Arabidopsis thaliana: one gene and its partners. The protein of the gene in region 3 binds, or shares a complex with, the protein of the main gene of each other region. Each region holds a gene or a part of one and is shown on either strand. Other genes may lie near its edges.

Evidence for each region.
Region 1: HAI2 (region 3) and CIPK23 share a complex: the UniProt entries of both Arabidopsis thaliana proteins name them as parts of the K(+)-channel calcium-sensing kinase/phosphatase complex.
Region 2: HAI2 (region 3) and CBL9 share a complex: the UniProt entries of both Arabidopsis thaliana proteins name them as parts of the K(+)-channel calcium-sensing kinase/phosphatase complex.
Region 4: HAI2 (region 3) and CBL2 share a complex: the UniProt entries of both Arabidopsis thaliana proteins name them as parts of the K(+)-channel calcium-sensing kinase/phosphatase complex.

What each region holds. Positions count from the first base shown.
Region 1 is NC_003070.9:10,652,774-10,659,876, reverse strand, and holds CIPK23 (CBL-interacting protein kinase 23), read right to left. Parts: upstream 5,078-7,103; 5' UTR 4,608-5,077; coding exon 4,383-4,607; intron 4,292-4,382; coding exon 4,229-4,291; exon of another isoform or gene 4,090-4,228; intron 3,932-4,089; coding exon 3,860-3,931; intron 3,774-3,859; coding exon 3,666-3,773; intron 3,558-3,665; coding exon 3,477-3,557; intron 3,338-3,476; coding exon 3,284-3,337; intron 3,187-3,283; coding exon 3,061-3,186; intron 2,885-3,060; coding exon 2,795-2,884; intron 2,676-2,794; coding exon 2,556-2,675; intron 2,477-2,555; coding exon 2,351-2,476; intron 2,137-2,350; coding exon 2,020-2,136; intron 1,924-2,019; coding exon 1,867-1,923; intron 1,787-1,866; coding exon 1,712-1,786; intron 1,594-1,711; coding exon 1,512-1,593; coding exon of another isoform or gene 1,495-1,511; exon of another isoform or gene 1,406-1,494; coding exon 1,353-1,405; 3' UTR 977-1,352; downstream 1-976. UniProt on the Arabidopsis thaliana protein: CIPK serine-threonine protein kinases interact with CBL proteins. Binding of a CBL protein to the regulatory NAF domain of CIPK protein leads to activation of the kinase in a calcium-dependent manner.
Region 2 is NC_003076.8:19,128,960-19,134,396, reverse strand, and holds CBL9 (calcineurin B-like protein 9), read left to right. Parts: upstream 1-2,092; 5' UTR 2,093-2,289; intron 2,290-2,520; 5' UTR 2,521-2,669; coding exon 2,670-2,748; intron 2,749-3,131; coding exon 3,132-3,214; intron 3,215-3,537; coding exon 3,538-3,597; intron 3,598-3,692; coding exon 3,693-3,801; intron 3,802-3,894; coding exon 3,895-3,947; intron 3,948-4,068; coding exon 4,069-4,149; coding exon of another isoform or gene 4,150-4,206; exon of another isoform or gene 4,207-4,237; coding exon 4,238-4,350; intron 4,351-4,437; coding exon 4,438-4,501; 3' UTR 4,502-4,757; downstream 4,758-5,437. Other genes in the region: LIL3:2 (Chlorophyll A-B binding family protein), read left to right, coding at 1-179. UniProt on the Arabidopsis thaliana protein: Acts as a calcium sensor involved in abscisic acid (ABA) signaling and stress-induced ABA biosynthesis pathways. Contributes to the regulation of early stress-related CBF/DREB transcription factors.
Region 3 is NC_003070.9:2,279,900-2,284,753, forward strand, and holds HAI2 (highly ABA-induced PP2C protein 2), read right to left. Parts: upstream 2,930-4,854; 5' UTR 2,758-2,929; coding exon 2,254-2,757; intron 2,161-2,253; coding exon 1,849-2,160; intron 1,765-1,848; coding exon 1,252-1,764; 3' UTR 847-1,251; downstream 1-846. Other genes in the region: SMO2-1 (sterol 4-alpha-methyl-oxidase 2-1), read left to right, coding at 62-134. UniProt on the Arabidopsis thaliana protein: Involved in the negative regulation of the K(+) potassium channel AKT1 by its dephosphorylation, antagonistically to CIPK proteins (e.g. CIPK23). Functions as a positive regulator of abscisic acid-mediated cell signaling during seedling growth.
Region 4 is NC_003076.8:22,669,049-22,675,212, reverse strand, and holds CBL2 (calcineurin B-like protein 2), read right to left. Parts: upstream 4,101-6,164; 5' UTR 3,668-4,100; intron 3,199-3,667; 5' UTR 3,142-3,198; intron 3,061-3,141; 5' UTR 3,025-3,060; coding exon 2,901-3,024; intron 2,765-2,900; coding exon 2,682-2,764; intron 2,584-2,681; coding exon 2,524-2,583; intron 2,428-2,523; coding exon 2,319-2,427; intron 2,244-2,318; coding exon 2,191-2,243; intron 2,097-2,190; coding exon 2,016-2,096; intron 1,939-2,015; coding exon 1,826-1,938; intron 1,692-1,825; coding exon 1,634-1,691; 3' UTR 1,583-1,633; exon of another isoform or gene 1,358-1,582; intron 1,300-1,357; 3' UTR 1,113-1,299; downstream 1-1,112. Other genes in the region: AT5G55980 (serine-rich protein-like protein), read right to left, coding at 4,571-4,912; AT5G55970 (RING/U-box superfamily protein), read right to left, coding at 5,901-6,047. UniProt on the Arabidopsis thaliana protein: Acts as a calcium sensor. CBL proteins interact with CIPK serine-threonine protein kinases. Binding of a CBL protein to the regulatory NAF domain of a CIPK protein lead to the activation of the kinase in a calcium-dependent manner.

The DNA of each region.
Region 1 (7,103 bases), 8.4 Mb from region 3:
AAGTTTATATATTAATTAGTAGATATTTTGGGTTAAGTTTATAGAATGACCCCCATGTCATGTGATCAATTTCTGTATTTGACCCCATACATATTCATTTTCCACAACTTTAGTTTTGATTTTTCATTTTTGTTGGCTAAAAATCTGTAACATCTTTCATATTCATTCGATCTCTTTAATTAAAAAATCATAGATCAAGGTAAACACAACAACTAATCAATCTCCACATTATACTAAACATTTTGATAGAAAAACAATATTTTGAGGATAAAAAATACTTAATACAACTGAAAACCAAAAAAAAATGAAGAACATGCATATTCTAATTGAAAAGTGAAACATTTCTAAAACTATATATATATATATATTTCAATTAAAAAATAGACTATTTAGTTTTATTTTGAAACAATTTATACTTTATATATATATATAAAATGACCCCCATGAAGAAAAACTTTGCCTCCGCCACTAACCACGAGGACCAAACTCTTTCTCCACATCCACAACAGCCTTAGCTGTTTCTAAACCAACAGGACCAACCTCCTCCTCCACATCTACAACATCCACAACAGCCTTAGCTTCATCCAAACTGTGAGGAACAAACTCCTCATCCACATCCACATTAGTTGTTTCCAAATTATGAAGACCAACCTCCTCCTCCTCCACACTCTTAGCTACAGCCTTACCTGTTTCTTAGCAATAAACAAGAGAGTAATACAGAAGAATAACAAAACCCCTAATTGAAGAATTGGTGTTCTTGTTCACATCTTCTTCGCCCTCAATTATTAATACAGAGTAACTTGGCCACCAAGTTTTCCATCTCTAAATTTTTGTTATAGTATTTGGTCCGACATAATCTTTATTGATATTTTTCTTTCCTTGATTTTGGTTTTAAAATCTCACTAACTTCAAGTCATGCTATATATTCAGTTTGTTTTGTCTACACTGATATTGGTTTTCAGTCCGCTTTCCTTTTTCAGGTTTTAAAATTATGAAAATAAATTTCGATTTGGTTCACACACAAGTGTTAGTTTGTTTTCAGTACATTTGAACTGAAATATCTATCGAATCTCAGCGTCCGACAATATAGAAATTGCAAAACCAAATCTGTAAAGCTTTTACTTTCCGGTTAATCGATTCAAGCCAAGAACCTCGCAACACGCATATGCTATTCACAACATTCCATGGAATCAAACATGATTAAAATATCAATAATCCCCATTCCCCAATATAGTTTCAAACTGCTTCTGCTCCACTTCTTGACGCTTCCTTTTGTATTAACTTCAAAACCACTCCGTACTACTATAGTAATTTATAACGAACAAAATCTATATTAGAAAAAAGTAAACAGCTTATGTCGACTGTTTTGCAATTGTCCGGTTAGCCATGGCACCATTAGTACCACCTGAAACATGAAGAAACAAAACAGGATTTGTGTTTACATGTTTCGTTAGTTTCTCCTTTTCTAGGAGCTTTATCTAAAAAACAGAGTATTCAAGGCAGATACTTACCACCATCGGTTCCTTCCTCTTTCTCTTCGTCGATGGTTTTCCAAACAATGTCCTTAAGTCCCGTGGTAAGGTTCTTGTAAAACTAAAAGAAGAGCAAGAAAGGATGCAAAAAGGTAAAGATTCAAACATCAGTTACTGGAAGACCATTTGACAAGCTCGGGTTTGATACAACCTGATCAGCATTAATAACCCTTGCATACCTTGTGGAATTCCAATGTGTCACCCCCTGATTTTCGCATTTCAACCATGTAAAGAGATGGAGCAACTTGAAAAACCTGAAGGTAGATGTCAATTAACTTAAATTAGGTTCAGCCAACCATACAAAGGGTGATCACTGGTCATTGTGAAAGCTAACCTCAGTGGCAACTGCCAACTGACCCTTGCGGCCTGATTTCTCTCCTGTCAGCTTCATCTGAAGGAGTTGAGAAATGGTTAAAGGGTCTATTCAGAAGCAACAAACCAATACACAACTCCACAGCATTGGGTAAATACGTAACAGTATTCTAACCTTGTAGTTATTTGTCTTGACATCAAACCCCATAGGTGCTGCCGCAGCCTCAATTTTTGTAACTATCTCATTAGCCGAAGATTTGGAAGTAAATCGAGTTTTTCGTTTCACCAGCCCCTGAAATCAGAGAAGCTTATCAATCAGAATGACGACTTCTATCAAACTAAGTACGGGCTTCCAAAGAAAAGTATTGGTCACTAAAATTTTGTGGCAAAGCTACTTCTTATTAGGTTTGACCAAAACCGCAAAAAGATAGTTAAAAATTGTCAACAAAATAAGAGCCTTGGGGGACGAAATTTAAAGACCAGCTTTACGTATCAGACTTCTGTACCATTTGTTTTTCGAAAAGTGAACCGAGATTGAGACCCTGGGATGTCGAGATGAGCTCAAAAGCATTCATCGTTACTGGTGTTTTGAGTCCTTCTTCTCGCCTCTCCACAACAAGATTCTTAGACTCCTATTAACAAACAAAAACAACTGAGCAATCATCCCGGACAAAGTACCGAAAAAAACAAACAAAAGAACACTAGCCTTACCCCTGAGTCATCAAAGATTGCATCAACATCATCAAGGCTGACATCAGCATTCTCAAATTTAGGTGCTTTATACCCTTTTTTAAACCACTCATTTTCAATGACCTCAGCAAATGTAATCCTCTGCCCAATATAAAAAATCAGTGTAAGCCTTCAGATCTACTCAATCCTATAGAAGCTTTTGCCTCTTCAAAGGAGAGATCCTCTAATATAAATTATATAATAGGGTAAGAAAAATATACCGTTGCTGGATTGGGATCCAGAATTCTTTTGATTAACTTCTTAGCACTTGCAGAGAACCAGGGAGGGCAAGTAAATTCTGCTTTGAATATCTGTAATTATGAAGAAAGAAAATCAGGTGGCTTTTATGCTATATACGTCTCATACAAAAATGACAGAGGCTTTTATACAGCCACCCAAATGCACCTAGACCTTGAAGCCTTTCTGATAGCATGTAAAATGATATGTATCAAAAGAAAAGCAAAAGAAGAAGAGGCAAGCGTAATACCTTTTTATATAACGACGTCAGGTTAGAATCTTCAAAAGGTAAATAACCAGCCATTAAAACAAAGAGAATTACTCCACAAGACCACAAATCAGCCTTCGCTCCATCATAACCTTTGTTGTTGATTACCTAGGGAGAAAATATAGAAGGTTACTGAGACTAGAAAATAATAGAATTCAAGTTTTGAGAAAATTGTGTGTCAGTTTTCAGTAGCAGTTGCTAATACCTCCGGAGCAACATAATTGGGTGTTCCACAGGTTGTGTGAAGTAACCCATCCTCCTAAAGAAAAAGGGTCACAAAATCAGCTTTTGAATAAATCATGGAAATCTTTCTCCTTAGAAGCCATAGTAGCTGAATTATCGAACTATGATATTTACAATGAAATGATAGAAAAAGAAATCAATATCTCGATGCTCACTCGAACTTGCTGAGGTAGAGCGCTCAATCCAAAGTCAGACACTTTCAAAGCACCATTAGCATCCAAAAGCAAATTTTCTGGCTGCAACCAGAATGTGCAACATGATTCAAACACATCAAACTTTTATTCTGATGCCAATTGATTCACAAGAAACCCTATGCAAGAGGATCACAAAGTAAGATTCCTAACCTTAAGGTCTCTATGATAAACTCCCCTGCTATGACAATAATCAACCGCATTAATCAGCTGTTGGAAATACTTCCTCGCCTCATCTTCCTTCAATCTCCCATTGCTTGACTAATACATGACAATTCTAAAGAATTAAGATCTCATTTCCACATAGTATTAAGAAAAAAAAAACACATCTTTCAATGAAATCTTACAATTTTATCGAAAAGCTCCCCACCAGTGACGAATTCCAAAACGAAGTAGATCTTAGTTTTGCTAGCCATCACCTGAAGAAGAAGAAGAAGAAGAAGAAGAAGAAGAAGAAGAAGAAGAAGAAGAAGAAGAAGAAGAAGAAGAAGAAGAAGAAGAAGAAGAAGAAGAGAATCTGTAACTACAAAGATACCAAAAAAATACATAGAATAATCAAATCCCTTATATTACATACATATGATTAGCCAGGGACCACAAATATGTTCCATAACTTCAAACGAATCTCAGCTTATAGCACAAATCTATAGAACAACAACAACAACCAAAACGTGCAACACAACTTTGAATTCAGCTTTATAGTATCAGAATCAAACCTCAAACATACGAATGACATTCGGGTGCTTGATCAATTTCATCGTCGAAATCTCACGCTTGATCTACAAAATCCAAAATCAAAGGTTATATCACAACTGCGTAAATCAGATTCCCAATAAGAACACAGCAGCTGGAGAATTGTATAATACATACCTGAGCGATCATCTTATTTTTCAGAACTTTCTCTTTATCAATAACCTTAATAGCGACATTATCACCATTCTCAACATTTCTAGCGAATTTGACCTTAGCGAAAGTTCCTTCACCCAAAGTTCGTCCAAGCTCATACTTACCAACTCGTGTCCTACCACCAGAAGAACTACCAGAAGGCGTTGATCGTGAAGGAGTCGATCGTGAAGGCGTTGTTCGAGAAGCCATCTCTCTCTCTATATATATATCTCGGTCTCTTATATATATATAGATAGATCTCTATTGAATCAGGAGGAGGACCTCTTCTTCTTGCATGGCTGCCATACTTGGGATTTCGCAACGCTCATCGTGAGAGATCTGCAGAAGAATTAAAACCCTAAGGGACCGGAGACCATATAAACAGCCGAAAATCAAAATTCAACTCTCGTGTGCGGAGAAAATTCAATTTGGACGAAGAAGAAGACTCATGAAGACGAGATTTGTATTTGAAGTGAAATTTTGTCAGTAGGGAAAATTCTGGGAATCGTAAATTTCGGCTGCTTTAGAAAAATCGAAGCCGGTTCTGGGAAAAAGCGAGTAACAGCAAGCGAGAGAGAGAGAGATTGTGATTCGATGGTGGAAGGAATTTAAAAGTTAAATTAAGAAGTAAATTAGTTAAGGAAATGTTTAATTAAAATTCTGTTTAGGGATTATACGAGGAAGGTTGTATCTGTAGGTTCTGACGTATACTATAGTTTACATTTTAAATTATTCTAGGCTTATCTTAGTCTTTGATAATTTAAATGCAAACGTTATGGACTTATGGTGATTACAGAAAATTATGTCATCCTTTTTTATCAAATATAAATAAAAGTAAATATTTTACTTTTTTACATGCCGTGTAATTAGCTGTCATAATTTTTTAAAACAAAATTTCGAAAAAGAAAATAAAAAATATGATATTTTCTCCAACCGAATAATCAACGATTTCAAAAGAGTTAAAGAACGACAGTAAAGAATTTATAAATTTTTCTTTATCTTTAATTTCTCGTAAAAATAAAAACAGATAAATTAGTACAAAAAAATTCTTACCTAACTTAAATAATATTCTCGAAATTGCTCAATTAAATTCTAATTAATATTAATTATTAAAATATATATATATATATATATATATATATATATGCAAACTTTTAATAAAAATATTGAACTAAGTCCACCACTTATCCAATTAGCTGCCATCACTTATCCAAGTATCTTTTTATACTCCGAGATTCCAAACATGTGTACTTATAAGATTTATAAAACGTAAGAGGATCTTTTATTTACTCTAATAAATACTATTGATTAGATTTGAAACGTCCAATTGAACTTTTGATGTTATGGAAAAGCCGTTACCAGTATCAAGGAGCTACGTGCCCTTTTCAATACTAAATGTTTCACAAAAGGGGCACTTAATGATACAAACCATTAAACATTAAATTTTCGATGGTTCGATCAAATGTTTAGAATCTTCTGTCTAGATTATATATGTGTTTGTGTTTCTATAAGAAATAATGCTCTATTATAAATACAGTATACAGTTATCAACCTAACTAGTTATACTTGTTTTTTCAACCCAAAATAGTTTAAACCTAGTTTCTGATTTTTATGGTGCTCATCAAAGAGAATGTTATCTAATAATCATCGTATTAGCATAAAACAATAGAACCAAATCATTGGTGGGCAAATGTACATACACATGACCTTGCCACGTTTTCTTGAAAGGGTTTGACTTTACAATTGATAGCCCATGAGGCCATGACCATCATGATGCATATTTTTAAAAATAAAAGTTATCTGATTCATATATATTCATACTCGTTTAGTCGTTGAATGTAAATTCTCAAATCTTTTCATCATAATTTTCTTCAGTTGATGATCATTGCAGATGCTTTAGATTGAAAATTATATTTAATCTCTTAAAAACCCTAATGTGTAAATAATGACTTTCTTATCAAGAAAGTATATTCCCGGTCAGTCATTATAATATTTGACCTCGGAAATAAAAATAAACCGACCCACGAGTTCGTGTTTGTGATCAGAAAACTAAATTAACGGAAGTTAACAGAAACAATCATGTTCGAGTGTCTGTTGGAGGCAACCAAGACATTATTATTTGCTTAATTAAAATGATTTTACAAAGCGTACAATATCTCTTTCTAACCTAATAATACCAAAACTAAACCCTTTAACAAAAAGAACATAACACCAAAATTCAATTCTAATAAGAATCAAACAATAATAATCTTTTTAATCGGTCGAGTTAACTGTACTTGAGACATATAGTCACAATTATTTTAAATCTATGTTTGATTATTTTATACGTAAATATATTTAAAAGTTCATCATTAGTAATTAAATTTTGAACTTTAACGGTAAAAGAAAAAAAAAATAACGTAAAATAACGTTGTATTATCTGTATATTTGTCATATATGACTACATTTATTTCAGACATAGTATAAACTTGGTTGATGTTTCTCTTGTGATTAAAACATATATTTCAGTGAGAACATATACTCGCCAGGTTTCTCGGATGATAACTAATATCCCTTTATTATTTTAAGGGAAGTACAAATTGAAAGTTTGTTTAATTTGGCCTCAATTTTGATTTCAATTTTGGATTTTGTTCTCTGATATTCAAAATCATTAAGGGTAATTTGGTATTAACAACCTCCTAAACTTTATATGATCCGATTCAATCT
Region 2 (5,437 bases), on a different chromosome or scaffold from region 3:
TGGGAAATTTCTTCTGCAAAACACTCTTGTTTGTGGCTGTAGCTGGAGTTCTCTTCATCCGTAAGAATGAAGATTTAGACAAACTTAAGGATCTGTTCGATGAGACTACGTTATATGACAAACAATGGCAAGCTGCATGGAAAGAGCCAGATTCATCAACAGTTTCTTCAAAGAAGTGAACAAGTTCTTACAATCTTTCATTTTCCTTTTTTTGTTATGCAATAATCTGTGAATCAGTGAAAGTTTATCTCTACTGAACTACTGATCTTCAGATTTTGTAATCTTTCTGCTTTAAAAATCTCTATGAAGTAGTCTCAAAGATAATGTATCGAAGGTCTTTGACTTGTAAAGCAGACCTATTTCGTTTTGACGCTTGATAATTTAATCAATAAGAGATTTTATTTTTTTTAATATGCTTTCTACTGTTAATACATCATCAAATAGTAGCGTTTCCAGATGGATGTTTGTGAAAAGTCATCAAGTAAGTCATATTTGTGAATTAATCAAAACCGCACTTCATCAACCAACCAACCAACCTCCAAAGAATTTGGGCTTCAGTACTAACGTCCTTTAAGGGTGTAACACATTACTGCTCTGCTCTTATTGCCGCAACTAATTTGACTCAATTTTAAGTACAAAATGGACCATTAAACTGTTGTCACTTGTCAGGACCACCGGCCCAAAATTAGTAGGGACCTTAGGACAGTTTGATATTAGTCTTTTAGTAAAAAAAAAGTTTTTTTTGTTTATCTATAAGAAAATACAATATTTTTTTAATAGATCTTAATTTTCTAAAATATCAACAGTCTATGTTTATTTTTGTGTCTGATTTAAAAAAAATTAGTTAGTTATCAAAACTTAAAACAAAAATATTAGGTCCAGGACTTTGGCATCTCCCACTTTCTTGAAAAACATGGATACTGTATGGACCTTCTTGTTTACTATTGTCATAATCTTTTTTCTCATAATCTTTTTACTATACTCATAATCTCTCCTCCTCATAATACATCTCCCACTTTCTTAACACCTCATAAGTCTTCTCATAATCTTTTTACTATCATAAAAGTTTCTGCTTGTATTGGAATGAAAGAATTTGACCATTTAATTTGGAATTCTAAACCCAATATAAAATTATAAACCACTCTTACTAGAGCCAGGATCCCAGTTTCAAATTTAATATACGTAACATGCATGATTTGGCCATGTCTTATGGATATGCTAATCCATTTCTTTTTTTTAGGCGAACATTATATAGTTTACATTATTGGATTGTTGGATGGCGTACGTACTTAATTAGTTTCAAAATTTGATAATATACATGATTAGATCATGTCTTATGGTTTATATAAAAGTAATTATGTTAATCCATAATTCTTATTTAGACCGCCTTTATACTATTGGATTTTTGTTTGTCCTACGTGATTGATTAGACTACTAAAATGTGACCAGAATTATTATAATTCTTCGTTTATCCCAAAAGGTATATGACCCATATTGAAATTATTATCAAACACACTCTACATGAATCTTGAATATATAGATAAATACAGTAATTAGTCCCCTTGCTAGTTGGGTTATCATATTAATATTTATTTATTGCAAGATCTTGAAGACTATGAGATCTTGACATCTGTATGGATTATGAAAATGAAAGATCCAATTTGAAAATTATATCTTATACAAATAAATATCATTCTTAGTATCTTTTGAGTATGTTAAATCTTGACTCTACAAGTACTAGTTACCTCTCTACACTTTTTTTTTCTTACAGTTATAAACTTACATAAAAACAAAATTCGAGTCTAAATATTTTTCTTTTAATAAAAAAACAAAAACAAAACAAAATCATTGCAGAATTGTAAGAAAACTTGTAAAAATGATTAACTTTCTTAACCAATAAAAAAGGAAAGTTGAAAGTTGAAATTTCGAAACTAAAATGTCAAACAACAATAATGGCTTTGTTTTCTTCCCACACTGTAATAAAAATAAAATAAAAATGGGGTTGGTAGAAAAAAAGAGGTAAAAATGACAAGGATGTGTTTCACACGCGTTCAGACCCTCACACGTGCGACGATCATGTTATAAACAAACTCTCTCATAATTTCCCCAATCGGAGGCCTCTGACGAACAAAAAAAGCCCAGCAAAGTCTGAAGTTAATCTCAGCCGTCCGATCAATTCATCTACCATCGTGGTCAGAGATCTTCTTCTTCGTCTCTCTCTCGTTTCTCAAAAATCAAAATCCCTTCCTCTCTCTCTCTCACCGAGCCGGCGAGCCCGTTCTCTCGGTGGTAAGTGCTCAATTTTTCGATTTCACCATTCAGTTTCTGGGTTCGGAGATTCTCGAGCCGCTCCTACATTACCTGTTTAATTTCCGATTTAATATTCAAAATTTTGTTAATCTGAATTCGATTGCCACATAGCTGCTGCTTATTTTTTCTAGGGTTTATACTTATTCAATTATCGTGTTCGTCTTTTAATTCAATTTTTGTTGGGTTTTGTTTTTGATTGAATCATTGTAGTTTTTAAAGATGCTTATGATGATGATGGGGAGTGAGTAATATCAGAAATCAAGCTTTTTCACAATCTCAGAAATTGTAGTAGAGTTTGGCGATTTTATCAACCTCCGGAACAAGCTTCTTCTTCTTCGTTTTACTCTTGTCATCCGTAAATGGGTTGTTTCCATTCCACGGCTGCCAGAGAATTTCCCGATCACGAAAACCCTGTGAAGCTTGCTTCTGAGACTGCTTGTAAGTTTACTTGCACTATACGTTTCGTTTTCTCTTCTTTGCTTTATTCTCAAAGAGCATGAGCATAAAGATCTCTCTTTTATCAATTGTTAACTGATATGAGAATCTGTTTTCGCCATTTATTGAATCCGAAAAATGGTTCTTTCATTCATAATCTATTTGATCTACAACTTTGTTAAATGATGCTTGTTGTTACTTAAGTCATCACATAAACCTATTTCAATAGTTTCTTGGATCATTAGTGTAGTTTACTTCTACTTTCAAATGGAATCTTAATCAGAGAAAGTTTTCAAGAACCATCACTTTCGATTTTTGTTTTGGTGATATACATGATGTTGATGAGAAATCTCGCAGTGTGGCTAATTATTTGTTTGTTTTTCTAGTTAGTGTTAGTGAAGTTGAAGCATTGTATGAATTGTTCAAGAGCATAAGCAGCTCGGTTGTTGACGATGGCTTGATAAACAAGGTAATGATAAATCTCATAGCCCTTTGATTATTTCGCACCTCATGGGAGAATCTTGAATGCGTGATGTACAGTGACATAATAATATTCATTGCACCATTATCCATATTCCGTATTATTTGTCAACTTTCTTGACTTTCACAAATTTATTATTGAATCTCCATGCTGAGCTGTGGGCTCCTTATTGCTCACCAAGTCTCTGTGTTGATGATAGTTGACTTGAATTTTAATTCCATTTTTTATATTGGTTTGCTTATAAAAATTGATGTTTTCTTGGCCCACTCTTGGATATTGTTACTTATTTTCTCGACCAACTTGTTATGCAGGAAGAGTTTCAACTTGCTTTGTTCAAGAACAGAAAGAAAGAAAATTTGTTTGCCAATAGGGTAAATTCTAAGTTTCTTTGGCCTTAGTAACTTTGTAGTTAGTCGTAACGATTAGTTCTATTATAAGTAGTTAATGGTAATGCTCTTTTTTCCAGATATTTGATTTATTTGATGTTAAACGAAAAGGCGTAATTGATTTTGGAGACTTTGTGAGATCACTCAATGTTTTCCATCCTAATGCTTCCCTAGAGGAGAAAACAGACTGTAAGTTGACCCATAAACGAGTTTATATCCATCGTCGTTTCTCTAAAGCCTTGCTGTACTTTTATTCATGTTATTCTGTATTTCATATATCAGTTACCTTTAGGCTTTACGACATGGACTGCACAGGCTTCATTGAGCGCCAAGAGGTAAACAATGGTCCTATATCTTCACATTCCATTCCCAAACAATCTATGTTTCAAAGACTTTCAGTATTATGGATTCTGCATCATCTATAAGTAATCATAATTGTGTATGCGTTTTTGGCAGGTGAAGCAGATGTTGATTGCACTTCTCTGCGAATCTGAAATGAAACTGGCTGATGATACAATAGAGATGATACTTGATCAGGTTTACTTGTTGTCTATTACAAGTTTGTTTTCTGTCAAAAGAAAGACTGTTTTATGAAACTCGAGTTTTTTTTTCTTTTCGTGAACAGACATTTGAGGACGCAGATGTGGATCGGGATGGAAAGATTGATAAGACAGAATGGAGCAATTTCGTTATCAAAAACCCATCTTTGCTTAAAATCATGACTCTTCCGTATCTCAGGTATGTCTCCTTACTATGATACTTCCATCTATTTGGCCAGTTTTGGTGCCATTTTCCAAGTTTGAGGACTTAAAAACTCAATTTTAGGGATATAACGACGACATTTCCGAGTTTCGTATTTAACTCGGAGGTGGACGAGATTGCGACGTGAAAGAGACAAGACAAGCTGGTTTATAGAGACCAAGTCGTAGGCTGGACCAAGAATAAAAAGAAGATTGATTCCAACAATGTTATATAGCAGGATCGAGCTCTATTTCCTTTGGAATTTTTAGTCTATTGGATTTCAATTTCATGTATTGCGATTACTTTTGGCTCTCTTTCTTTAACAGTTTTGAATACTCAAGTTGTAGTTCTACGAAAAGATTAATATAAAACCACAATTTCTGATTAAAGATTTGATTTTGCTCATAAATTATTCCAACACTTTATGTTTTATGTAACGAGAAATCAAAGTCAAATATGCTTAGACAGAAGAAATTAGCCATATAAATCAATTTATTATTATTAAGGGAATTGAAAACTTCAAAAATACCAAAATGAAACTAAAATTATAATCAAACCAGACCTGAATTTATTGTAACCGATAAATCCGAATTGACGTGTGTGGTGCCGGCTTTGAGATGAAGACAGACCAATGATGATCCCAGTAGCTAAAGAACTCAAGCGGATTCAGACATTCCATGCTGTGGAGTGATTCTCTCTAATCCCCCTGTACGGCGACGCTTTTACATATCCTCCATGTTCTTTGACTACAAAAGCCAAGTTTGAGGATCATTTAGTTGAAACTCAAGAGTTCAGACAAGAATCATTTGTATGAAACTCAAGAGTTGATACCAAAAAGAAATTTCTCACGGAAGATGACACTTCCCCTGGCACAATCTAGATGAGCGTGATAGTGGGACGTTGTCCATATCTAAAAAAAGAAAAATGGCATGGTATAGAGAATCCCGGAAATACGGAGAAGAGGTTAATCTGTTGTATAACCGCAGATTCGACCTCGGATTAGTACTGTATTGTACTCTATAATTGCGCTTAACTCGCAAGTTTATGTTCATGGTTTTTTTTTTCCTTTTAACTCTGTGTGTGC
Region 3 (4,854 bases):
CAGATCTTTAGTTGTCCTGATATTAATATCCAGTGTATAATTCGTCTCTGGTGTTCTTCAGGATCTTTGGTACTGACAAGGGGTACAGAAGACTGAAGACCCTTAAAGAAAACGGTGACATGAAACAAACGTGAAATTGCCACTTTGGATTGCAGAGTACATTTGTCTTAGAGAGGTCTTATTCTGCAACCTCTCCTTTTCTTTAACATTTTGCTTTCAGGTTGCTGCAACGCTCATGTGTCTTAGTTTATTATGTCTGACTAGAATTGCTGCTCGTGTGGCCTATTTGAAAAAACATATGGTACTTCAACTCAGTATGTGTTTAGGTTGGGCAATTAAAACATTTTGTATGGGTCATCTATTTGAAGCTTAATATATCCTTGTCTCATTTTTCTGTATCAAGTTTAGATGTTGCGCTACCAAATTTTTGGGTAGGTTATAGCCTTATAGGATTCAGATGAAAATATAATACCCCAAAATTCTCGGCCCAAATGCTTTGGGAGTGTTGGTTCGATTTTCCTTCTTAATAAAATTCTTACATTACATGACAGGTAAGTTAATTTTGATTTTCCATCAGACCAGTGATCATGTTTAGATAAAACAGTCTGATTAGGTTCATATTCAGATCTCAATCAATTACCCGACACCGACACCGACACGTACGAATGCGCATATTAACATATGCATCGTTCCGGTGTGTCACATCCTCTTTACGTGGTGTAGGGTTTCTACTTTTACCTCTTCGACACGTACTCCGTCCTCTTCCCAATTATCTTCTCTCTCTTTTCGTTTCCGTGAGATTTTGAATTTCTTCCAACACCAAAAAGGCCCACTCGTTTATAGAGATTTTAAAATCTTTATCAACAAACTGAAAATTCCCGGTGATGTTCTCAAAGATCACCACGCGTATCCGAGTTAATTGGTTTGCTTTAAAAGCCAAGAAAACATATACATACTTTTTTATTAATTGAATTCTGAACTGATTCCACCTAGACAGTGACACATTCCGGCTTCCTTTTCTGTTTGTTCATTACACACCGAAAAAAGGCAAGAAAAAAAGGTTCAGAACAAAAAAGACCCAACCATACCCGGTTTAACCGCTTTCAGTAAACCGGGGTTTTTTTTTTAGACCTAATGCTTTTTTTTTCTCTCTTTTGGGTTCAAAGATTTGAGCTACCTTCGTCCCAAGGTAAAAGAATCATTTTAAACAACACAAAAAACGGTGGAGTAAGAGTGATGAGGAGATTAGTGTCAAGCAACGTGTCTCTTTCTTCTTCTTCTGAGATCAATAACGACGACGCTTACGTTGTCACTACTGTGTTTTGCCAACGCCAGCTTCGTCAGCAATACTGACGCCTCCGTACATGCTTTGTCCGTGATCTCTCCTCTCTTCCCGTTCTTTCTTGACCCCACCACCTTCTCCTCTTCTTCTTTCCCTTCTTCTTCACTCCTCCTCCCCGGAGTCTGTGTTTCTCCTCGCCGTCTTCCACGACCACTTTTTCTGTTGAGACACATGCGCACCATCGTACACGCTGCCTCGTTCGTCACTACGTCCCATAGCCCGTCCGTCGCTAGAATCAGAAACTCATCTTCCTCAGTCCGATCCGTAACCGTCACTTCCGGCTCCGAAGTGACGTACGGTTTTAAATAATTGTCTCCTATGGCTCGTGACATGGCTAAAACGCCTAAGACTCTTGCACCGTCCCAGTATATCACTCGTCCTCCTGCTTCTTGGATTCGATCCAGCTCATCCGGACGATCAGGCTGTTCATTTTCAAACGTAAACAAGAGTTAAAATCCACTAAATCAAACAAATCAAGAAAGAGTTAGAAAGAGATAAAGACTGACCTTATGATCTGTAGAAAGAGGTACTGCTTTACCATTCCTACAAAGAACTGCTCTTGAGTCACCGCAATTCGCAACAATGATCTTCTCCGGCGTAATGACGGAGACAACGGCGGTGGATCCAACAGCGTCACAGTCCGGCGTTTGAAGCTCACACCTACAATTAGCACTCATCACAGTTTCACCCCAACGAACAACCTCTTTGTCCATACGTGTGAAGCTACGCTCCATCATCTTCTTCCATTCTTCTTTCTTATCCGACAACGCTTCTTCTTGCACTAACTCGTGAAGTCTCTCTTTACACCTAGCCGCAACCTACAAAAACGACATCGTATATTTCAATCAGGCAAAACCGTAAATATATCAATAATTTTGAAATTTTCAAATTAGGGTAAAACGGCGTCGTACGTGAGAACAGCCATGGCCGTCGTAAACACCAAAATAGTGCCATCTTGTTCGAGAAAACTCCGTTTGTTTCCGTACAAAAGACGGATGTAACGCAACCGCATCTTCCATATCTCTTCTTCTCCCGCACACCGATGCGACGCCGTATCTCGGCCTCAGATCCGTCTCTTTAACCGTCTTCTTCGACGGAATAACTGCAACATCATTAACCGATGAATTTCCATCGGAGATAGAGACGTCACTGTCTTCAAGTGATACACTCTCTTCTTCAGGAGAGCTTTGAGAAGGTGACGACGATGCACAGTTCATAAAATCGTACTCTTCTTGTTTATTTCGCTTATTATAAATCCCTTCAGATTTATCCTCCTCCTCCGTCGTCGACGCCGTGGGATTCATCTCCGACGGAGACATCCTGAATCGCTGGACACCGATCCTCCACTTCCGGCTAGACCACAACGGTCTTGATTCACAAGCCGACGTCTCGTCTTCATAACAAATATCCGCCATAACTCGATCGCCGCCTCTACTAAATATTCCGGTAACGAATCTTTTGAACGTCAATTAATTTCCGACGAAATATCTCTCTCCAAAATTTATTTTATGTTTATTACAAAAACAAAAAAAGAGTCGAATAGTGTTTCTTTTTTTTTTGGTTATACCACGCAGTTGAATAAATATCATCGTTACACGTTACAAAGCGTGCCCATTTATATACCCATGCGGCCTACCGCTTCATTAAACATTTTAAAATTCCTTTTTCTCTTCCTCGTTTTCAAATTACTTTTAACTTTTGATTTTTCTCCCTCCGCCTTCAAAAAATCTTTTACTCTAGCGACGTGACGTGTTGGTCTTTCGTCTAAATTAGAATCAATCTTGACCGTTGATCTGGTCACTATAGTATCTAGAAATGGACCACGTAAGCATCACGATCAGGTGGAGATATACGTGGCCCAATGACAAGGCAACAGAGGGGAGGAGGAAGTTCCTTTCGCGCCACGATTGTGGTCCACTTCTTTCTCAGGAAGACCTTTTTTGTCCAAATTGTCTCTGTGTCTCCCTTAAAGATAAAATATCTATCTAATCAACGATTTTTTAATTTTAAAGAATCCCATTACGTTAGTTAAATTTTTATTGTAGTTAACCTTAATTTGATCTAAATTAGGTCAACTTTTCAAGACTAACGAATTAAGTACGAAATTGTATACAGCGATTTTGCGATCATCTCATTAAAGAATTTATATACTGTGAACTAAAATTAGGTTACACTAAGACACGTACGTTAACTTTTCATATGAAAATTCTTTAGTTTTGTTTTTATGTAACCTTTAACATCATATTACGTTATTTCGGTTAACACTTAAAAGGTGCTTGGGAATTGTTTAGCTAAATCCTCTGTAGGCTGGTTTGGACTAAAATTTCTAACATATTAAGACCAGAGCTTTTTGTAGTGTTAAAAAAAAAAAAAAAAAATCTAACATCATAACTAATGATTTTGATATGAAAGCTTATGATATTTTTTACCAAAATATGCTTGTAATATTTTTGTCTTGTCGTGTTTAAAACATTTGCAAAGAAAGTGTACTAGTAATCTCATACCAAAATCATTTAATTGATATATAAAATAAAGTTATAACCATTTACCTAATTAAAAATGAAAGAAGTAGCGTGCATATATCCATAATTTTATCCGGATCTCCTATAAATTAATACATTGATTCGTTGCAGAAGTTAAGATTGAATTCAGAGTACTAATACATCATTTTTGAATCAGACCAAAAAGATTCTCAGCACTCAAAAGCATTGCGTTCAGCATTTAATAATAATTATAGTTAGAGTACGTACGGAGAGAAAGAAATTTAACTATAACGTATATAAGATTACAAATACAATCATGAATTTAAGTCCAAATCTGTCTCCATCAATTGGATTTGATATAAGCACCAGATCAGCTAGATTTCACGCAACTAAATCTCATCTGTTTAATTACCTGTAAAGCTGTAGTTACATTCATGATTACCTAAATAATCCTCGAGTAATTAAAAATTGAGGCCTCCCTAAAGTCACTATGAAGTAGAAAGTGAAAAATGAAAAAGCCGTACAGAGGACACGTAATTGTCTTGGAATGAGGAGTTATATTGTTAACCGTTAAAAGCCACAAAACAAAAATAAAAAGAAGATAGAAAAGGCTTTTTGGTGAAGCAGTGGCCCAACCATTTACCTCTACGTTTCTCCTTTGTTTCCATTCCGGCGAGTGGGTCTCACCTCCTTTATAACGGAATCTGAGGGCTCTCTTTTCCTCCACCGTACACGTGTTACCATCGTAGCTCTTATGTTTGGATATTTACCGACTACTGTTGCAGTGAAGTTAGGTCACTTTGTCTCTCACACACTCTACTCTCTCCAGTGAACGATGACAAGCTTTAATGTGTCTCTCAAGTCTCAACTGTAAAAAAAAGAAGCTAATTGGTGTTGCAAATGTAAACATTGCATAAGATAACGTTTCGCTTATAAATGAATAACTGCAAGTCTGCAAAATCATTTACTTTTGAAATAATAATACGTACTACTCACGGGGGCGATCGATATATAGTTTGTGTTTCTACG
Region 4 (6,164 bases), on a different chromosome or scaffold from region 3:
TTCCATCTCGTTTATATGATTTATTTTTTATACGCTAAAAATATGATTGATCATGTGTTTTATTCAATTTTAAAAGCACATTAACATTAATCAATCATTAATAGATCTAATGTGCTTGATGTTTTAGTTGGTCTTATAAATTAATTTCACCGATAAATGAATTTTTTTTTCTCCGGCGAGATAAAACATTACATGGTGAGGCTTCAAGCTAAAGTTGGCTTCATTACATCTAACAATTTCGACATTTTTATGTACGAAACTTGTAGTTATATCAAGCTTAGTTTCTTTGAATTTTAACTATCGTTTCCAAGGCAAATCTCTCATATTTTTTAACCATAGAAAAATAATCTTTTATACTCTTTTTATTCTTTCAAACCAATTAATCTTTTTTCTATGAGGAGATTTTAGTTATTTGTGTGAATATAGTTATGAAAACATGTAGACAATAATTGAAACCTAAATGTGAAAGGTCCAAACTTAAACTTTTTTGTGGTTTAAAGCATAAAATTAATTTTCAAAAATATATATGTCAAAATGATGTATATAAAATAAAAACTAAATCATATTAATGAAATATTCCTTTGAAAGATAAAAAAGCTGAAGAGACGGCATGAAGTATGGCTATTGAGTTGAGTTGGCTTTAGAAGCACTGTTTGATCTTGAAGTTGAGTTTGCGTCTAGTATGGCCGAAGATAAGATGAAGAGTAAAAGTTGCTTTTTCTAAATGAAAAGCGCTCCTTGGAGAAAGAGATAGTCTACATGGAGCGTGAAGAACTTTTAGAAGAGGTTTCTTATTTCAGTCTTGTGTAGCAAAACAAGAAGAATGGTCTTCCTTCTCCTCAAGAAAGAACATGGAAGTCATTGAAGCATAAATGAGTCATTCTTCCATTGCCTTACTACAAACACAATGTTCCCCTCATCTACAATGGATGGGAAACTTGATTGGCAAGTCACTTCCTTTTGTATTAATGTAGGGTTCTTGGTGAGGGAAAATCGCTAATTCTTCAATTAGGTTTTTTTTCCCTTTTCTCACCTCTTCTTCTTTTTGGAAGAACATTATTCATGTCTCTGCTTCTCAACCATCCCCCGAAGCTCTGCTTTCGTATACCCTTGTTGGTAAGATCATCTCCTCTTCTCTCTAATGGCGTCTCATCGAAGATCCACTTTTTGTCATCATGTAAGTTGATTCTTGTGGAGCTGATCTCGGAAAACTCGTCATTAGGAGGGCTGGTGACATCACTCAGTTTTGACTAGTTTTGCTTACAAGTCACATATGAAATGACTAGTTTTGCTTGCAATCTAGAAATCCATTGAATTAATATTAAAAGCTAACTCTAATAACCAAAACACAGAGATTGAAGCAAATCTTTTTAATTGGATTAATAAATAAACTGAAAAACTTTACATTACCATAACATCAAGATGCAAAAGTTGTATCTACAGATAGACCGAGCGAAATCAAAAAGGACAAAAACCAAACTAAAAAGAAGAATTTTGCTTCACAAAAAAAGCTCAATAAAAAATAAAATGAGTTCAGAGATTTAGAAATGTAACAAATAAAGAACCATAACGAAAGAACAACCTTCAACAATACAATGATGTCTTGCCGCTGCTTGCTTTTGCTTTTGCTTTTTCAGGTATCTTCAACCTGAGAATGGAACACAAAGCTTGGAAACGTAGTCGTGATATCCCTGCAGAGCAAGCACACAACAGGATCACGACCTTTATTACATATCATGGAGAATAGAAGAAAGAGAAACCAGAGAAGGAATTTGGTTGAATAGATTCAATCCTGGTTATATAAATAGAAAGATTTGGAACTCACTTGAGATATTGAAGAGTCATGTTCTTCAGAAGGCTGGGATGTCTAAGAACAAGGCTTCTCCACTCTTCCTTATCGATCTTTCCATCGTGTTTTGTGTCTGCTTCCTCAAACGTCTGAAACATTCAAAACTCGGGAAATTACTTTCAAAGAAAAAATATAGGGTGAAGAGGAAAAAAAGTAAGTAACTTACCTTGTCGATTATATCCTCAATGACAGTATCCTTCAAATTCATTCCAGATTCAGCAAGCGTAGCGACAACCATTTGTTTCACCTGGACAAATGATGGACGAAAATGTCAGTGAGGATAATAAAGCGCACTTCTACAAGGTTATATATGAAGCTATTTGAAGATATGGAAGCTTTACCTCTTGCCGTTCGATAAACCCTTGCTGTTTAAGATCATATAGCTGAAATGAAACTGCAAAAAAATAGTATATATCATTAATGTGTTATCCCAATCTTGTTTTTGAGATACAAGCTAAAAGGGACGTACAGTGAATTTTGTCATCTATAGGCGCATTTGGGTGAAAGACGGAGAGAGCACGAGCAAATTCCTCAAACCCCAGTATTCCATTGTGCTTTGTATCAAACAAATCGAAAACCTAGAAACAAAATCACATATTTCAGCATTTCTTCTAAACTTGATCTTGACAAAAATGGGTTTAAGAACACTTATAATGTGAAGAAAGAAACATTACCCGATCTGCAAACAAACTCTCTTTTTTATTTGTCTTAAACAAAGCCAACTGAAACTCTTCCTGATACAAACAAGAGATGAGTAAATTAGACAGATTGTTAGATCAATCACTAAAGCTTTACCAAATGAGGAAGAAGATCAAACAAGTTAGAGTTATACCTTGTTTATTAGCCCATCATCAATCACGGCACTGCTGATTTTCTTAAAAAGCTCATAAAGAGCTTCTATTTCACTCACACTAACTGCATTCCAAAACCAAATTCAATCATCAATAGTCTTCAGAAGAAATATTTTTGCATTCCTCAAATGGTATTGCATCGAATCTTATAACCGGAAAAAAAAAAAAAAAAAAAGAGTAGAGAAGGTGATAGGGCATACAAACAGTGTCTCTTGCAAGCAATTCAGGATCTCCAAGGCCACCAGATTGTTTATACAAATCAAGATCAAAACACCCTAAAACAGAGGTGCATAAATGCTTGATACCGTCAACGCACTGCGACATGATATATCTTAAGCAGCAAATCAAAACTCTCCATGCCTGCATATAAAACATTGTGAACTTGTTTTGCTAATTTCAAAAAACAGCTCTACAGAAGCAAGCATATGAAGAACACTGTACCTTTCAACCATTTCCTAGTGTTTTTTGCTGAGAAAGGATGAGACTTTGCGAGAGTATCTGTAACACAAGTTGCAAAATTCAGAGTAATCTAAATAAGTCAGTCAATATAGGCAACACAAACATTGCTTAGAAACTGAAGTCATTATCATGATTTTACTATTCAGATGATTCAGTTATGTCCACATAATATATACAATATTGAAGAAGATAAGAAAATTAATGGAGAATCTAAAGACTTAATCAAAGCTCATTAACCAAATTTTAATCTTAAACATCACAATTTATGGACACACAAAATTAATAAAATCCATCAGAAACAAACCCAAATTGGGAAATTTGAATTTATACATTAATGAACTCAAGGATTACACAATCAATTACAGGTTCTGAGAAACAAAACCCGATCTAGATCCCCAAAAATCGTCCTAATGGATTCGTGAATCGCAGATTCAACAGAGATAGAAGAATCTTGATATGTAAGTGAACTCAAAATGAGTAGAATGGATTTGCGTATACGAAAATTTACCGATTACGTTGATTCTCAATCTCAAGTCGGCTCTGGTTGTTGAAGCTGAGCGAGGAAGACGGAGACGATTTGTTGTAAAGCAGAGGAGAGAGTTGGAAAACAAATTAAAACCTGAAGAATCTTTTTAAATATCTCAACAAACAACAAAAACTCAATCTTTTTGCATTATTACAAATTAAATCCTGAAAAATCTGCTCAAATCGTCGTCGTTTTATTCTTCAAAATACGGTTCGATTTGATTTTCGTTCCGGTTAAGTAAAACTCGAGCTGAATTGAACCGGACATAAATTTGAATTTCACATTCACCCATAGAATATATGATCTATTGTGCTATTGGAGAATTTAAGTTTTCAAAAAATCTTCAAATTAGTACATTTTTTACGATGTTAAATGCAAAATAATCATACAAAATCAAAGATAATATGTGATATAGCCATTTTTTTCTATTGTCAAATTTTAAATTTTTGACAAGTAACATATAAAATCGAACCTCCCGAAATGATAAGTTCAATTATATCTTCAGAAATTTTAAAAATAATGTGATCATCAAAACGTTTACAATATATATAAATTTGCAAAAATATATTATATTGCGTATTATTTCTGACTTCGTAAAATTATTTTATATTTTCTTTATATAAAATGTAGACAGAAAAATTCATTTCAAGTATTTTTGAAGCATATAAAATGTGTATGTAATAAATGCTTAAATTTGAATCAAATTGGTGAAAATTAGATAAAAGTTTACCTTGAATCGGGTTAAGCCGATTTCAAGCGGTTTAGTAATACAGACCAATGTCTTTTTCGATAAAAATTATTGAACAATGTCAAAAGAAGAAGTAGAAGAAACAAACAAATAACAAAACCGACAGTTATTATACCGAACAAATCCAGTAACCGGGTTTACTGAGCCTTGAGGGAGTCACTAAACCGGCTCGACTTGGACGACAATAAAACAGCGAGGTTCGACCCAATAGACCCGGCACGTGTCAACGAATCAACGCGGTGATACCTGCACCTGAAAGAACCGGCGTGTGTCGTCGGAGAACATAAACAATTTAGCCTCGTAGATTTACCGGAGGACGATCTCCAACGTTTTAAACTAGGTGAGTTATTGTCTTGGCTCTTCGATTCAACGGTAGAGCTACCGGAGGGTTTAGGGTTGATCTTGGCTAAACTTGTGGAATACTTTTCTTGTGCCTTAGGTTGTCCGAGATTTAGGGTTGAAGGGTTTTCTTTCGTCATGGTTTTGACGAACGTAAATAAGAATGAATTTGTGTTGTTGTTTCTTGCTAATGAATCAAAAGGTAATTTCTATAGTGACTTTTGTTATGAAGGTAAAGAATGATTTGTGTTGTTTCTTGCTAATGAATCCAAAAGGTCATTTATAATAGTGACTTGTGAGAGAAGGCAGCTAAAAATAGTCGTTGGATGTTGTTGACAAACTGCTTTTTTAAGTTATTGGTGGTTAGTATTCTAGAAAAGAGTTATTGTAAATTAGTAGAAAATATTTGACTTGGAGGTTTTATTCTTCTTTTTATGGTTTACACATTTTGTGCAAGGACAAATATTATGACTTTTCAACCAATTAGGAACATACTTAGTTGTGTTAGTGCCAATTGAGAATCTAGAACAGTCTAATTTAAAGATTCTGTAACCAAAAAAAAACATCTGATTGTTTTTGTTTGGTTTGTGCCTATTTTAGGTTTTGACAGACTCAAAGGCTTAAAATTCAAACTCTAAATTAAACACCCTAAGACTTACTTATATAGCTGAAGTCAAAACCATCTCAAAGACTCCAACTATTTAGATGCCATGTCCAAAACTTTTATACTTATGAGATATAGTTAATGCTATAAAAATATTTCTTTTAAGAAAACCGACATCCTAATTGATAGTTAATGAAGTAATGTTTGGGTTTTCAGTTTTAAATTGCAAAAAAAAAAATTGAACATATAAAAAAATATATACATCAAGATATGTAAATGAGACGAGAGAAAAAACAAAATATGTAGTATAAACACTATATTAAGATTCTATAAAGTTGTTGCCATTGTGATTTGCATCATCTACTCACAATGTACATAACGATTACTGGTGAGCTCTTTATGTACAAAAAATTTGACACTCACACAAGTAATCGACTTTGCTTCAATCCAAAACTAAAAAAAAAAAAAACTGAGAAAGAAAAAAATTATATTGAGCTTTTGTTGCTTTTAGGGTATTTGCTTTGTCATCTTGGAAGATCTTGTTTGCAGAGAGGACAACAAGAGATGATACGAAGCCATTGATCTACACACTTTGAGTGAAACTTATGTGAACATGGAAGCTTCCTTACTTCTTCTTTGTCTTTATACTTTGCCAAACATATACAACACTCCTGCAAAACCAAATCAAAACTCAAAATCTAAGTCCTTTTCAATCATAAACGAGACTAATAGACAACATTCGACATCAGATTCCCTTAGTGGATCAAAACAGAGCTATCACAGATTAA